2 linked regions of the Bombyx mori genome follow. The protein of the gene in region 2 interacts with the protein of the main gene of each other region in a pairwise test. Links are inferred from orthologs where the notes say so. Each region holds a gene or a part of one and is shown on either strand. Other genes may lie near its edges.

Region 1 (4,029 bases), on a different chromosome or scaffold from region 2:
TTGTTCAAACTATTTAGGTACATGATAAATTTGCTATTTAGTAGTCAACCATAAATTGTTCTTAAAAAAATATGAAAAAAATTCTTTTATGTGCATGGGGATGAACACATTTTTTCCAGTTACAAATTAATTTACAATTATTAAGAGCTTATTTACTTTTATTTGGTCAGTTGAGAGCAAATCAAAAAATCTGCTAATCAAAAACTCTTTTATGTTTTCTAATAATGTTCATATAATTCAGCAAAAACATAGATACCTATGTTATGTTTGGTTTATTTTGTATTTTCATTAATTTTATTAGAATTCTTGATAAAAAAAAATCTTTACTTTTACATTAAATAAACACACCACCACAAAAATGAACATATTATATGTTCCATTCAATTAGACAACCAGTGGAGTTTAATTTAGACAACCAGATAAATTATGCTTCCTAGTAAAAGTCAACAAACCTTTTTTTACTACTGCATTTTATCTGTACTTAAAATATTCGAAAATCTCAAAAATAATTTTATTATTTACAAAACTTTGTGTCACTTTGTTTTATCACAAAACTTTTTAACTATGTCTAAATTTTTATAACACTTATCTAACTAGTAATTTTCAACAGCTGCAAAAATAAATTCGAATTTATAAGTTTCTTAAAAAAAATTAACAAAAATGTTGGTTATTTTTAAAGAACATCTTTTATTAACATAATATTACTATATTATCACTAATAGTATTTGCAAATAATATTAATAACGTCAAAGAAGCCAATAAGTAAGTAAAAAGTTCTTTTTTTTTGTTAAAATTAAATATATAAGGTGAGAATGAGTAGATATAGAAACCTCTTCAAAAACAAACAGTTCCTCCCAAGAATTTTGGGTCCCATAGCACTTTTTTATTTTATCTGAAACTAAACTGATGAAAATTTTCAGTTAAATGTATCAGGAACATTATAAGAAATGTGACAATACTTTTTTTTTTCTTTGAATCAAGTATACCCACAAACTGAAAACATTATTAACAAGCCCAAACAATATTAAATGATGTTCATATTGCAAATAAAATAAACTACAGCAAATAGTAACAAAATAATATGTAAGATAAAAAAGATATATGTTCATATTTTTTGTAAGCTCAAGAAAGCAATCTTTTGTATTTTCATTAATATGCTTCAATGACTGATATGTTTTGAACTATAGTCATAACTGCAGGCTTTTAGCTTACTAAACTATTACTTTAACAATATTTATAATTTAAAATTCTATCGCACAATTGGTTTTCCTTCTGTCTGGAACTATTCAGATTAAATTTCTTATTAAACCATAAAATGTTTGTAAAACAATTTTTATGATTACCCTTTAATAGAATGTAGCACCAATCCAACTTCAATTGAATTTACAATATGATTAATTAATAAAAGTATGCAAATCTATAACAAATTAAGTAGTTTATCATTGGTGAGTTGAGTTGACTATCATATACAACTATGCCTTTTCCATGATGGCTATTTTTCAGCTAAATAAATTAACATCTTTGGCTTTACACATCACAAACATGACATGAGTTTTTTATAAAAGCATTAAAATTCTATTTTATGTCAACATTATTAATTCATAAGGCATTTTATCAGTATTCTGGACAACGAGTGTGAGGAATTTTTTTTGCACCAGGCGGAGGAGAAACCTCTGATATTGCAGTGTGCACTACAATGGCTGGTTGTGTTGGTGTGGGTGCGTGTAGCTCTCGACTTTCACCAGGAGATAAACTTGCAAGTGCCGCTAAAAGGTCATGATTCACAATGGGTTCACCTTCTTCTCGAGGCTCCCAGCCAACTGGAGGACTTGATGGAGGTGAAATCAAAAATTGCTTAACAGGCGCCGGGGGTCTGAGATTCTTAAATGAAATTGGTGTCACAGGTTGGGCAAAATAGCAATTTATGCATGAATCATAAAATTGGTATTGATGTAATTGAATTCGTGCATTTGCGGCAGCTAAGGGGTTGTCATAATTAACGCGTAATCTTTTGAAACTGCGGAGCCACTGAAACGTTACATTTTCCGAAAATGTACGGAATAAGTCTTCCATCTCTTTTTTCAATTTTTCATCAGAAAAAACGATGCTATTAATGTTTGTTACAATAACAGATTTAGGTAGGTCATCAAAGTTGTCGACTTCATCTTGAGTATCACTTTCTTGTTCAAAATTAACTATATTAGGATGAATATTAGGCATTCCATCTTCTGGATTTATGTAAACGTTTTCTTCGGGAAATAGATCGTAGTCTTCTTGGTGTGCCATGTTTCCCCGCTACTGTGTAACGTATATAACAGTATCTGAATATTTATATACAGTAATACCATTAACAATTCTACTGTTAGCGCTTAGGATATTTTATTTAATGAATTTTTCAATTTGACTGTATTTATGGTATTTGACAGCTATCGATTGAACATAGATAATACACATATTTTATAAAACTGAAGATTGAAATCGCTTTTTAGTTTAAAGTACCGTACTGAACGACCATTAGCTATTCAGTATTTTAGTCTAATGTTAGCTATTCAAATTCTTCAACCTTCAATAATAAGCCACAGTAAAAAGCGAGAGCTTACTAAAACTTACTATATTAGGAGAAGCCTTTTTTTATGATTGAGGGCTTACTGGTGGCCCGAAGGCCATTCCAGTTTCACAAGGACAGGTAGAAGCCATGTCAAGAGGCTATTCTCGGCTTCTTATATTTCTCTCTTTCTCGAATTTGTTCTCAAAGTCACAATATTCATCGGTGTCCAAAATAAAGCAAAATTAACATAGCTTCGCTCCTTGCATTCTCTGCCAAAATAATAGGACATTATGATCTTATTGACAACCTAAAGACACTGCTAATATAAAATGACGGTAGTCTACTAGTTTATGTGTATTATTATCTATAGGTAGTTTTGAACACTTTTATGACTTATTTATTAATGCGGTGTACAATAATCGAAACATGTTATCAGAGATATTGTACTTCAGTAACGGAAACATTAGCTATACAATTAATAAAATAGTGATAGAAATTACTAGCCGTTAGCCGCGGTTTCGTCCACGTGGCTGTGAAACAATGTCAGTGTAGTTTATGAGGACAATGACATCCTTTTTAGAATAAAAGGTAGCTTAGTATCTGTGAAAGTGCACAAGTATGAAAAATGAAACAAGTCCAAAAAGTCATAGTATATAACCACCATTTTACTGAATCTCTCTACAAAACTTGCATATGCCCCGCCATGACGTATGCAAGTGTAGTGTTCGCTCACGCGGCCCGCACCAACTTCAAATCCCTTCAGGTTATTCAATCCCGTTTTGCAGGATAGCCGTCGGAGCACCATGGTAAGGAACGTGGATCTCCATTATGACCTGGAGCTCGACTTAGTCAGTAAATATCTAGAGTCGGCATCATTGCGCCACTTTGAGAAGGCTGCATGACACGGGAACCCTCTTGTCGTGGCCGCTGGAAATTACATACCCGATCTTGTAGACTGAATGGTACCACAAGCATCGGTCATCGTCCTCGTCGAACCCGTCCCCTGCGACAAAGGGCTCGACGAGCGAATTAACCCACAGACACAGCCCACTGAGTTTCTCGTCGGATCTGCTCAGTAGGTCGCGCTTCCGATGCGGTAGTAGGTTCTGCGAAACACTGCTCTTGCTAGGGCCAGTGTTAGCAACACTCCGATTTGAGCCCCCTGAGCTCACCTACACGTTAGGGCGAAGCTGAAATAGGCTCTCACTCAAGGCTATCAGCATAAGTAGGAAAAAAAAAACTGAACCTTTTTTAGTAACATTTGGTTGTGTTCATAATCTTTCATCTCTCATCTCATGTCGTTTCAGTTAGTTTCACCTCAAATGATTACAATCTTTAATAAATCAACTTTATTTCTTTTGGCTCATATTATAATATATTCATTAACAGCAACCTATTCCTCGAAATGGTTTTTTGTATCAAAAAGAAAAAAATCATCGATACTCATTATAAAGTAATAGCTGATATGGAAATATTTTCTG
Region 2 (4,166 bases):
GAACTTGAAAATTATGTAAGCCACTTTAGTATTCACAATTTGAACATATTGCATCATTAGGTTTATTTGTTTGGCAGACCAAAAGAGATTTTCCAACAGTGCACATGTATGAAACCACATTATTTGTAAGTGAAATTTGGAAAAAGAAGCTGTAAGAAAATCTGCGATTAGACTAGCCACTACACCTTATATGCCGAAACATTATGGCTAATAATCTTTTATATGTGATGTTCCAGCATACAAGTTCAGCTGCATGCAGGCAACGAGGGGCCAGCATACACCCAATATAAATTAAATTTAAGTAGTAATAGTTTATAGGTAATAATTTTAATATATTTTGTACAATTAAATACAATTAAGTACAACTTGTAGCAAAGATATTTAAGAGAGTAATATTTATTCAAAGTGTTAAAGCTGCAATTACGTGTGTGTACGCACAAGGCATATTTACACAGCACACACGTATGGCAACAACACACAATGTGCTGCACACTATAGTACATAATTATAGTATTACTTAATAGAATATAAAGACACGCCCAAGCTGAAAACACTTCCACTTTTATGATTTCAATGCATGATTAGCCAATGAACATGCTTGTACCTCTCTAGCAGACTGCTATTAAATAATACATTGATCATTGCTTAATATCACAGCTAATTATGCTTTGAAAATTTTAGACATGTCTAATTTTCACTAAAGTAGATAACAATGTAGAGTATAAGTAGACAATCTGAATTAATTTACATTACAATATCATGTCTTTTCATATGAAAATTTAAAATTACATTACCAAAAAAATTAAACAGTGCAGCGCAATATTTAAATAAAAGTGCATACCTTAATATTTAATTGACTAAATAAATTTGTTGCCTGCAGATCTGACATATTTAAATATCGAGAGGTAATATCTTATGAGAAGTTTTAATTTCAACTATTGAAAAAAAGTTAAATCCAAATTTAAAAATATTTTTGTATTTATTATTAAGACAATTCCCTTCAAATCCACCTAGTTATTATAATGTGAAATATCATTCCAAAAGCTGAGTCTTCTTCACATATTTCACCATGCCACTGTAAATGTGGAATAAAAGTGAGGATCGAAGAGAAATAAAAGGTAGCACTTCACGAATGAGCATTGCTGTTCACATGCGGTTTCTTTTCTTGGGTATCAGGAGTGCGTTGACCATCCCGCCTTGGTGGCATGCGCTCATTGATGGCATCTAACCCCTTGGCTTCAGCAAAAGAGGTTATCTTATGGTTAGGTGAGAAACCTTGCAAAGCATTTTTTAAAGATGTCTTGCCACCAGAAAGTGCTCCCAGGGGTAAAGCACCAGTAGGAGTTAAGCCCTTCAATTGCAAAACAGATTCACTTTCCTCACGAAGAACAGAGAATACATGAGCCATCTTTCCAATTGCACGGATTTTATTGCGAATGACTTCTTTTCTGAGATTAGCTTCCTCCAATGCATCATCTCCTTCTGACATCAATTCATCATCAGAACAAATGTTCAGAACATTGACCAGCATCTCTGTAACTTTTTCACCTACAAATGGAAGAGACCAAGTAAAAACATCCATGAAGTTGGGTAGCCAATATGGATGTGGAGAACAGTTGAATTGGCGTATGTTCATCACATTGTTTTCATATTTTAATACAGCAGCCTTATTGTTATAGACATCCAAATAGTTTGGTGCTGAGAAGATAGTTATCAGACTGGGAAAGCCAGTTGTTTGGCTTTTACGATACATTCGGTAGCCAGCATCTTGAGCTTCATGAGCACGGATGATAGAAAGTAAATTGTTTCTTTGGAGAAAATCACAGCAGGCTGCATAGCTATAGAAATATGAGCAACCCCTAACGGAGTTATGCGAGAAATGTTCTGCATTTTTTTCATTGCCAAAATCTTCAAGAGGATCAGACCACAGCAGGTCACACATGGCTCCAAATGCAGGTGGCTCTTTGAATCTATCTAGTTTACGGATATCATCTAAGCTGTTGATTTCAGGAGAAAGACCTCCATGAACGCAGAGGAACTGTTGGTTCATAAGAGCAGCCAGGGGCAAGCAATCGAATGCGTCCATGCACGCATCATACACCTTCTCTGAATATTTGATTTTACATTCTTGTTTGAAAGTGAAATATTCTGTCAAGTGTCTGCATTCGTGGTTGCCGCGTAATAGGAATAATGTCTTCGGATAGCATAATTTTAAAGCCCAAAGATAGAGAACACATTCTATACTGAAATAACCTCGGTCGACATAATCACCTAAGAATAAATACTTAGTACAAGAGGGAGAACCTCCAACCTCGAACAATTTCATCAAATCATAAAATTGCCCATGGACGTCTCCACACACAGTCACCGGTGAATCGATCTCGATCATAGTTTTTTCTGATCGTAATAAGGTGGCACCATCTTGAATAATCCGTAAGGCCGCATTTTCTTCGATCCGACCTTCTAGGATAAAATGTTGCTTCAATACATCTGGTAGTGGCTTTCCAGTTTTTTCATCGAACACTTCCGATACTGTGAGCTTGTGGCTGGGAGGGAAAGCGACACTTTGAATCATACGCTGCGTAGTCGACACTTTATCATTGCTCCCGGACATATTTGTCACATAAAAAACACTAGGTCTAATCCATACACGCCACTATTTTCAAAATGGCAGAATAGATATAATACTAAAACAGAATCCCGATTTCACGACAGAGCAACTACTGCGCACTGGAAAACAATGCGCAAACATCTGGCGAGTGGTCAATAAAATAAACAGGGATATCGAGCGCGTTTTATTACTTTTGAAAATATCATTTTATAGTAACACTGGAAATTTAATGATTCTGTTGCCAGATAGTGAAATTCATAATAATTATAACAAAAATTTTAGACTCTAACGCCTAAAATGGCCCATTATCATATTTCGGAAGAAAAATTTAAAATTAATTTATTGTAAAACGCAAGAAAAAGACATATCAGAATAAAGTAATACAGTTGAACTCCAAAATAATAAAAAAAATGTTTTTAAAGCTAGGAAAATTAATGTAGAATTGAAAATGTTTTGCGTTTTCTCGTTTGTTAGGTCCTTACAAAATTGGGTGTGAACGAGTGTGTCTATTACAGCACGGCGGCAAATTTAAATCCCCGTCCCAATGAGAATATATATTATTTATTTAGTGTATTACCATAATTTTAAATTTATGAATTTATTCATTTTTATATACATATTAACACACATAAAAAAAGATAGTAAAGATATTCGTAATTATTACATAGTAAGGTTTTCCATTCAAACACATAGCTATTCTATGTACCTATTCATAGAATTTTCGACTAAATGTAATACAACGAACCAAAACACTTCACTTTTCATAAACTGAAATTCACTACGAGTTTAAAGTAATATACATTGCACTATTACAACTGAACCCTCTTCTTCTCATATCTTAAGATAGGTGGCGGCATTCACATTGTGATTTCTAACTGTTCCGGTAACCACTGAAAATTAAGTAAGCCGCGAGCTTGTCAGTTTAAATAAATAATCCTATAACGATGACGTAATTGGATAGTAGCGTCAATGCCGTTTTAGGTTGAGTAGACCAGAATCAGCTTGTTTGGTCACCGCGTGGCCTCGCCATCTGAAGACACTCCATAACCATCACCCGATAAGGTACCACGAATCTGTCCATTTCTGCCGTGAAGCAGTAATGCATTTTGGTAAGGGACGAACCGCCTTTGTATTATAATAACTGAGATTTGTAAATCATGTCTCAAGGTGGGGGCGGCATTTACGTTGATGTCTGTGGGCTCTGGTAACCACTTCACACAAGGTAGGCTATGAGCTCATCCATTCATATAAGCAATAAAAACTCTTAAGAAAAAGTAAAAAACACATTTACAAAACACTAATTACATCGTTGACTGTTGGTTTTATTAACTATTAAAAGAGATTAGGAAAGTCTTTGGTGTAGATAGCTACCATAGCAAAATACTGTGGTGAATATTGGTGAATTCGAAAAGAACCGAGGTCTGCGCAACTAATGCGCTTCTAAACTCTAAAGAGCTAGTGTGATACAAGTCTAATATCGAAGCAAATAAATAAAAATAGAAAGAAGACATCTCACTAGATGTTGGGAAAGATTTCCGTGTCGTATTTCCGTCGT

Evidence for each region.
Region 1: the proteins of Cna (region 2) and protein sarah interact in binary tests that used the Caenorhabditis elegans proteins (3 or more experiments, as listed by UniProt). The link is inferred for Bombyx mori from reciprocal best matches to the Caenorhabditis elegans genes tax-6 and rcan-1.

What each region holds. Positions count from the first base shown.
Region 1 is NC_085129.1:7,376,909-7,380,937, reverse strand, and holds protein sarah, read right to left. Parts: upstream 2,862-4,029; 5' UTR 2,287-2,861; coding exon 1,615-2,286; 3' UTR 208-1,614; downstream 1-207. UniProt on the Caenorhabditis elegans protein: Inhibits tax-6/calcineurin A phosphatase activity and thereby negatively regulates calcineurin-mediated functions.
Region 2 is NC_085116.1:8,360,721-8,364,886, reverse strand, and holds the start of Cna (calcineurin A), read right to left. Parts: upstream 2,808-4,166; 5' UTR 2,615-2,807; coding exon 1,127-2,614; 3' UTR 1-1,126. UniProt on the Caenorhabditis elegans protein: Calcium-dependent, calmodulin-stimulated protein phosphatase. Dephosphorylates arrd-17. Dephosphorylates daf-16 at 'Ser-319' which regulates daf-16 nuclear translocation. Dephosphorylates calcium permeable cation channel pkd-2 at 'Ser-534'.